2 linked regions of the Caenorhabditis elegans genome follow. The protein of the gene in region 1 purifies or fractionates together with the protein of each later gene. This does not show direct contact. Each region holds a gene or a part of one and is shown on either strand. Other genes may lie near its edges.

Region 1 (3,927 bases):
AACAAACCTCACAAAGTCCAATATTGCTTTTCAATTCCGCTCGGTCACTTCCTCTAATTAGTTTGATTGTGTGACCCGCCGAAGAGTCGACTTCATCTGTAAGATCTCGTCCAGCGCTGACCATTCTGTGGACAGCAGCAATGAAAACATCTTCTTTTCTGTCTTTTCCTAGTTCTCCGTAGAAAAGACCCTTTGTTACCATATTCCGTTCTTTTAACGCAGCCATTCGTGAATCATGATCTATTTGATTTTTTCCATTACCCAACTTGATTTCATTGGTTCTCTGCGTTTCGTTCAAAACAATGGCGTTGTTCTCTTCCGCTGTCTTCAAGACTTTCAGTCCAAATTGTTTCTTCTCGTTAAGACTCTCCTTTTGAAATCGTGTGTTCTGAATTGAGAATAAGTTTGTATTTATAAAAATTGTAACTAATGTAAGGCTATTTTACTGTATATGGAAAAATGCATTTTGGGAGAATCGAGGATCAACTCACCTCCTTTTTCAACGCTTTGACGTTTGCAAGTATGATGTCCTCGCTGTGATTTTTTCTCTCCTGGGTCTGCTTCAGCATTTCTTGATCAATCTTCTCTCTCGTCAAAATTTCCTTGTTATCCGCATCTTTTTGGTTTTTTAATGCCTCATCGGATCTCTGCATTGCTTCAATTTGTTCTTTTTGATTTGATTTTACGAGTTCATCCTCCCTTCTGTTGCTCTCAGTTTTTGTCGCTTGAAGCTGTTCCACGGCTGTCTGAATTTTATAAATATATAATTACCCGTGTTCCTAATTCGTGGGTCGAGACAAAAATTTGTTTTGAAATTTCTACTTGTTTTGCACATGTTTTTTTTATAAAGTCACCTGTCTCTGTCTATCTGCGCGTTCTTCCTCGGCTCTTCTCTGCGATAGTTCGGAGCTTCTCAAGTCACTCATACGCTGACGATTGTACGCTTCTTTTCGTTCCTGAGCCTCATATCGTCTTTTTTGCTCTTCATACTCCCGCTGTGCTTGTACATCCCGTCGAGCTTGTGCTTCCTGTCCCGCTTGGAACTCCCGTTCTCTTTCCTCTTTCGCTTCCTGAAATATTTTTCTTGTTTTAGGAATAAAGAAATAGTCTCATACAGTGTCTGAGGGCGCATTCCCCATGCTTCCAGTACAATCTGAAAACTGAAACAGTTTTGAATTTCTCAATGGTTTCAACGAATATGGATGCTTACAAAATAACGAGAACTCGAATTCAAATCAGGACTAAAATCAAAACGTATTCTATGAGTTAATTATATTCAAAAAAAGCAACGCGGAAAACAAATGAAATGAAATTTCGTTCGATAATAAACCATATATCAGAAGTTTAAGGGTTAGGAAGATGATGAAATTTAATTTACATACTCCTCATTCCTTATACCAATTTTCTTATCTTGTTTCCTTTATAAAAATGCATTATATTCCTTATACTTATCGTCAAACAATTATTCACTTTTGCTACTTTTAAATGTGTTCTTAAAAACTCTTATCATACATCCATTTCAGTTTTGAGATCGTTCGATGGTCGTCGGCAAAATTATTGAAGTTTTCATGAAATTCTGCTGGTCTGGCAAGAATAGGGGTGCAAGACTATTAGAGACTGCAAGACTAATAGAGGAAATACGGTAGCCGAAAAATAGCCGCCCACCCCTGGTTAGCATGAAAAACGTGTCAGTAACAAATGAATTAAGAAGAAAACGCATTACATTGTTGCCGAAAAATTTGTTTCTAGCCAACCAAATAATCCAGGGGATCTATTCTTATACAAAATCGGGTCCGTACACCCACCCTATAACTATGGTCGAAGTCTTTTTTGCAGAGTAATCTAAAAAATGGAAATAAAACAACTGGATAATCAAAAATTAGAATTTGAAAATTTAGAAGTATCAAAAAAATCAAGAAAACAGTTTCATAGAGTGCATTGAGGCAATTTAAAGTTATACACACTTCTTTCGTTCGTGGCAGTATTTTAAAAAAATATTAGTGTTAGCAATATTATGAAAAACCTTTTCTATTCCTTATGACTCACCTATTCCTTATGACTTATGACTCAGCAACGACTTATACAGTTTCATTTATTATAAGGAATCCTCGATTATTCCATTTTGAAAAATGTCATTGCAATATTTGTTCTTGCTAATTGTAACTTCAAATATAAACAACTGTTACCAATATTCCATTCCATTCCAGCATTCATGCAACCGTCTTTTTAGTATTTTTAGAATATTTTACATAATTTTATTATTAATTTTTTTTTGCTTCAAAATTCTTAAAAAAATAATCTTTAAAATTTAAGACAAAACCCTCCATAGGTGCAAAAAAGAGAAAATGAGTGACACCGACTACTATCGAGAACTGGAAGCTTCTGAACAACGATTGAGCGATTCTCGGGCTGCTAATCGAGAAAGTATCAGGTACGTTTTGCTTTGAGGTCCACAACAGGGCTGTGCAGCGATTGTTTTTGAAAAAGCCGCACAAAACTTCTTATTTCAATATGATAATTTAACTTTTTTTAAATCCAAAATTAATATAGAAATGTAGAAAAAAGTTCGTTCCATCTTAAGAGAGCATTTATTTTTTTGGTTGTAAATCTTCAAAAATGTCTCAAATAGTGCCTGAAAGTTGCCGTTTGCCAAAAAAGTGACGCTTAACGGTTTTTCGGTAAACAACAACTTTAAAGCACTCTTTGAGGCATTTCTGCAGCTTTTCAACAAAAAATATTATTTTTTGATAGAACAAACATTTTTCAACGTTTCTATATTAATTTTGAGTTAAAAATTTGGATTATTATTTTTGAAATAAATAATTTTGTCTGTTTACCTTTAAAAAATGTTTCACAGCCCCACAACATCAGCAATACCAATTTCAGGACAGTGGAAGACAAAATATCTGATGAGCGAGAGAAGCATGTGGCACGAATGTCGGAAAAAGAGAAGAAACATCATGAAAACATGTTACGACTTACGAATTCCAGCGCTGCAGAGAGGAAATCCGCAGAGGAAGCACATAGGAAATCGGTATGATCGTTATTAACAAAGTTATGAATTTAGCGCTTGTAGTTTAAGGCACACGTTCTTTTTAGGTAAGACTTCAATTAATTTTAAAATGTATTTTCAAGTTGGGTAGGCAATCTAGGTTCTTACTAAATCTTATATAAAGGGATAGTAGCGCCAGTGAGAAGAATGTTAAAACATGCTCGTATGGTGTCAAAATGACCAAATATCATAATAAACCTTTTCAAACATTTTTTGAAGTTTTTTTTTCACTGTCTAAAAAGTGACAATTACTCAGGTTTTGCCACTTATAATTTTTGGAAATCGACTAAAAAAAAATTGTCCTTCATTTTTTATACTGCAATTTTGTTTTAATTATTCGTATTAAAATATTGTTGGGGTCGGAACAAGCGATATTGCTTTAGATTTCCTCAAAAGCTCATACTTTTCAAAATTTTGACTGGAAATTATAAAAATTATACAAATTTTTGGAGTGGCTTCTTATGATATTTGATCGTTTTGGATCATTTTAAGTGTATTTAGACAATTTCCCTACTGGCGCTACTCCACCATTAAAAAATCATTAAAAGGTATTAAAACTCGAATTCAATAACTTTAAACGAAGTTTGATCTCAATTTGTTTAACATTTGTGTACGCATTTCAATTTGGTCGGCATACAGCCTAGCTTTCTTTAAGACAGCAGACCCACTTCGAAGAAAGGTTTTTTGCGAATTCTGTAAAAAAATCACGCGCTTTGAGATTTAAAAATTACTTTTTTTAGGTTGAACAACTCAAAGAAAAACACAAAAACGAAACGGAAAAGTTAGAAACGCAAATAAAAGAAATAAAAGAGAAGGGAGAAGAAGATGTTAGAAAAGTTGAGCTGCAACGTGCAAATCTTGAAAAACAACGAACA
Region 2 (3,927 bases), on another chromosome or scaffold:
CGTTATCATCGGTTGGCTCTGAACCACCCGAATTCCATTTGTATGCATCCATAAATTGAGTGGCACAAAGCTCTTTGATTCGACTGATCAGATATTTTTGATTTGGATGGACACTGAGGAATGGAAGAAGGAATGGAAGATCTGAAGATTTGAGAGAATCTCTTTCAATTGCTGCAAGTTTCAGAGCATCAACAGAAGATACTCCAACACGAAGTGGAGGATTTGCATGCTCTTTATCGAGTATTTTATTGACTTTATCAATGTGTTCGGCCAATGGTTCGAGAATTGTGTTGCGAATCCAGGCTCTAGTCATAAACTCGGCTCTTTTCTGCTGATCTTCCGTTAATAATTCTCCAGTTTGGTATCTGATTTCATTTTCAGTACTAGTAGATCGTTCAGGTGAACTATGAGATCTACGCCGACTACGAATCCCGGCACGATCGATTGAATTGCTTCGTTTCAGAATTCCAGTCTTTCCTTCGGGAGTTAACTTCGCCGCATTCAGTATTTTATGCAAACGGACAAGTTCGTCTTCATCCTCTTCCTCGATCTCTCCATCTTTGCCACGTCTCAACATTTTTACTTCCGTTCTTCCATTTTTACCAATTTTCATTCGGTATGCTGAAAAATAATACAAATTTGATGATTTAAAGCATAGTTTGTTGGTGGAGTGACGGACTCAAAATTTCCCAAACCAACCAAATTTTGTAATGAAAAATCTTGAAAATTTCACAATTTTTTTTTGAAATGGTGGACCGAAGATGCAACTTACATGAGTTAGTATTCCCATCATTCGTGATTTCCTCAGAAACCTGCCAAGTGTTATTCGCACTTATCTGACCACTGCGTCCTAAACCAAATACACTCCAAATGGAAGAAAATGTAGAAGTATTCATATCGACTGGAATCTCATCCTGATTAGATCGGAGAAGCACATCAAGCTGTTTTCTTGTATGAATCGATTCATTAGATTTTCCATAAACTGCCGGGCTTTTCCATCCCCCTTTGGTATCCTCCAGAATTCCCGAAGTGTCTGAGACTGAAACATTTGACATCACTTGTGAATATGAAGGTGACTTCTTGTTTGGAGAAGGAGATTGTTGAAGTTGGCTTGATTTGAATGATGGAGTACCGAAACGGTGAGCATCAACCCAAGAAAGGTCATTGCTTTGTACACTTGTGTCGAGCACATTCTGAGCATCGGGCACTATTGGTGTACTTTTTGATGATTCTGGACGTGGTGGTTTTGATTGAACTTTGTTGTAAACCAGCTCTGAAAAACGATAGAATAAGTTTTTTTAGAATAACTGAAAATCTTACGCTTCAGGGCATTCGGGAATTTGATCTCAAACGCGTACGATGCAATCATAATCAATGAATAAATTATGACGAATAGTGAAATACTAGAATTTACGTAGGAGGGAAAGAATCCGAAAAGAAGAATTGCAGAGGTAAACGATGAATTGAGCACCAAATGCTGAAACAAACTGGTTAATAAAAATTAATAGTTTCATCTCTTACATCAATAGAGAAGCCAGTTAAGAGAATGATGTGCCATTTGATCCTGGTTTCCAGCATTGTTATTCTCGATTGTTCTAGTCTCTGATTATCATTCACATATCTGCTCTTGCACACTGGGGACATTTTGTCTTCAAATGCTGACCGGTTTGATGCCTGTGATGTGTTGAGTAATGAATAGTCTGCATTTTGACTTTTCAGTCGTTCGCGGAGTGAATCCGCAGTCATTGTGAACCTGTAACACACTAGAGTTGATGTAAAGCTTGCGATTAGATTAATATTTATATTAAAACAACAAATTAGTGAGAAAAATCACAGAAAAAACATTTTCGAGGGAGTTTTCGATAAAATATTTTCGAATCTTTTTGTCCTCGTGTACTACGAGCGCGTTGGCCTAGAAAACGCATGTCAGCATTTTCTAGGCCATTTCGGAGATTTTTAATAATTTTATTTTTTTGGCTCAATTTTAATAAATATAGCTTTCTATTTAATTGTCTTAAATATTTAAATATATTAATTTACAGATCACCATGTCCGACGATAAATTAGACACTCTTCCGGATCTTCAATCGGAAACGTCACATGTCACAACTCCTCACAGGGTACATTAATAGTGAAAATTAACAAGATGATGTTTTATTAAATATCAATTTCAGCAAAATGATCTTCTTCGTCAAGCGGTCACTCATGGAAGGCCACCACCAGTTCCGAGCACATCAACTTCTGGAAAGAAACGAGAAATGTCTGAACTACCGTGGTCAGATTTTTTTGATGAAAAGAAGGACGCAAACATTGATGGAGATGTTTTCAATGTGTACATAAAGGGAAATGAAGGTCCAATTTTCTATTTGCTTCACGGTGGAGGTTATTCAGGCCTCACATGGGCGTGTTTTGCGGTATGTTTTGTTCTATTCTAGTGTCAGTCATTAATGGTTCTGTTCAGAAAGAATTGGCAACTTTAATATCATGCAGAGTTGTTGCACCTGATTTAAGAGGACACGGCGACACTAAATGTTCTGATGAGCACGATCTTTCGAAAGAAACCCAAATAAAGTGAGGTTTCGCTTTGATAAGTTTTGTAACTTCTATCGACATATTGTAGAGATATTGGAGCAATCTTCAAGAACATTTTCGGCGAAGACGATTCACCAGTATGCATTGTTGGACACAGTATGGGTGGTGCATTGGCCATTCATACATTGAATGCAAAGATGATTTCTTCAAAAGTCGCTGCACTCATTGTCATTGATGTTGTCGAAGGTTCCGCTATGGAAGCACTTGGAGGAATGGTTCATTTTTTACATTCAAGGCCTTCTTCATTTCCTTCTATCGAAAAAGCCATTCACTGGTGCCTTTCTTCGGGTACAGCGAGGAATCCCACAGCTGCACGGGTCTCAATGCCGTCTCAAATTAGAGAAGTATCGGAACACGAGTACACTTGGCGAATTGATTTAACAACAACAGAACAGTACTGGAAAGGATGGTTTGAAGGATTATCCAAAGAATTTTTGGGATGTTCCGTTCCGAAGATGCTTGTTCTAGCGGGCGTTGATCGGCTGGACAGGGATCTCACAATTGGTCAAATGCAGGGAAAGTTTCAGACTTGTGTGTTACCAAAAGTTGGACATTGTGTTCAGGTAAATGTTATACTCAATTAATAATTTATATAAATTGTCTTGCAGGAAGATAGCCCACAAAATCTTGCAGATGAAGTCGGAAGATTCGCTTGCCGCCATAGAATTGCCCAACCGAAATTCTCAGCCCTTGCATCACCACCAGATCCAGCGATTCTCGAATACAGAAAACGTCATCACCAATAATTGCTCATTTTGTTTTCCAATATTTTCACAACATTTCTATACAAGTTAAGAAAAAAATATTTTATATGAAAAGATTATCGATTAAATTTCCCGTCTTTTTAGTTCTTGGGAATAATAAATGTCAGCGACATACGAATGAATCGATTATTTTAGAGGAGAGGCAGATGCCAAAAAATTACAGTCAAAAAGAAGTATTCGTGAAAGAGTGCGCAAATCGAGAGACGCAGACAGAATGCAAACGCGCTCCGCTGAACTGTGGCCGCCAAGCGTTTCGTTTAAAAGGGAGCGTTGTCTATTTTCCTATCTATTCTTGCCAGTTTTATTTTATTTCGCAACTATCTTTTTACTACGATTTTCGAAAATATTTTCAAATTCAAGAATGTAATTATTTTGTGTTTCAGAAACCATGTCGACTTCTGTTAAGCATCGTGAGTTCGTCGGAGAGCCAATGGGCGACAAAGAAGTCACATGCATCGCCGGGATCGGGCCAACATATGGCACCAAGCTCACCGATGCAGGCTTCGATAAAGTATGTAGATTTTTTTTTCTCAAATTTTCGATCAATGTTAAAATTTGAATTTCAGGCCTA

What was found.
Region 2: the proteins of pals-4 (region 1) and B0464.9 fractionate together in Caenorhabditis elegans (co-fractionation; one large-scale study listed by BioGRID). This does not show direct contact.

The regions. Positions count from the first base shown.
Region 1 is NC_003279.8:13,111,292-13,115,218, forward strand, and holds the start of pals-4 (Protein containing ALS2cr12 (ALS2CR12) signature), read left to right. Parts: upstream 1-2,195; 5' UTR 2,196-2,345; coding exon 2,346-2,431; intron 2,432-2,837; exon of another isoform or gene 2,838-2,886; coding exon 2,887-3,034; intron 3,035-3,792; coding exon 3,793-3,927. Other genes in the region: pals-3 (Protein containing ALS2cr12 (ALS2CR12) signature), read right to left, coding at 8-388, 492-746, 855-1,070, 1,116-1,139.
Region 2 is NC_003281.10:9,463,725-9,467,651, forward strand, and holds B0464.9 (putative protein phosphatase methylesterase 1), read left to right. Parts: upstream 1-2,042; 5' UTR 2,043-2,048; coding exon 2,049-2,120; intron 2,121-2,174; coding exon 2,175-2,414; intron 2,415-2,461; coding exon 2,462-2,571; intron 2,572-2,620; coding exon 2,621-3,155; intron 3,156-3,200; coding exon 3,201-3,338; 3' UTR 3,339-3,465; downstream 3,466-3,927. Other genes in the region: B0464.6 (uncharacterized protein), read right to left, coding at 1-621, 773-1,273, 1,321-1,477, 1,522-1,746; baf-1 (Barrier-to-autointegration factor 1), read left to right, coding at 3,745-3,867, 3,923-3,927. UniProt on the Caenorhabditis elegans protein: Demethylates proteins that have been reversibly carboxymethylated.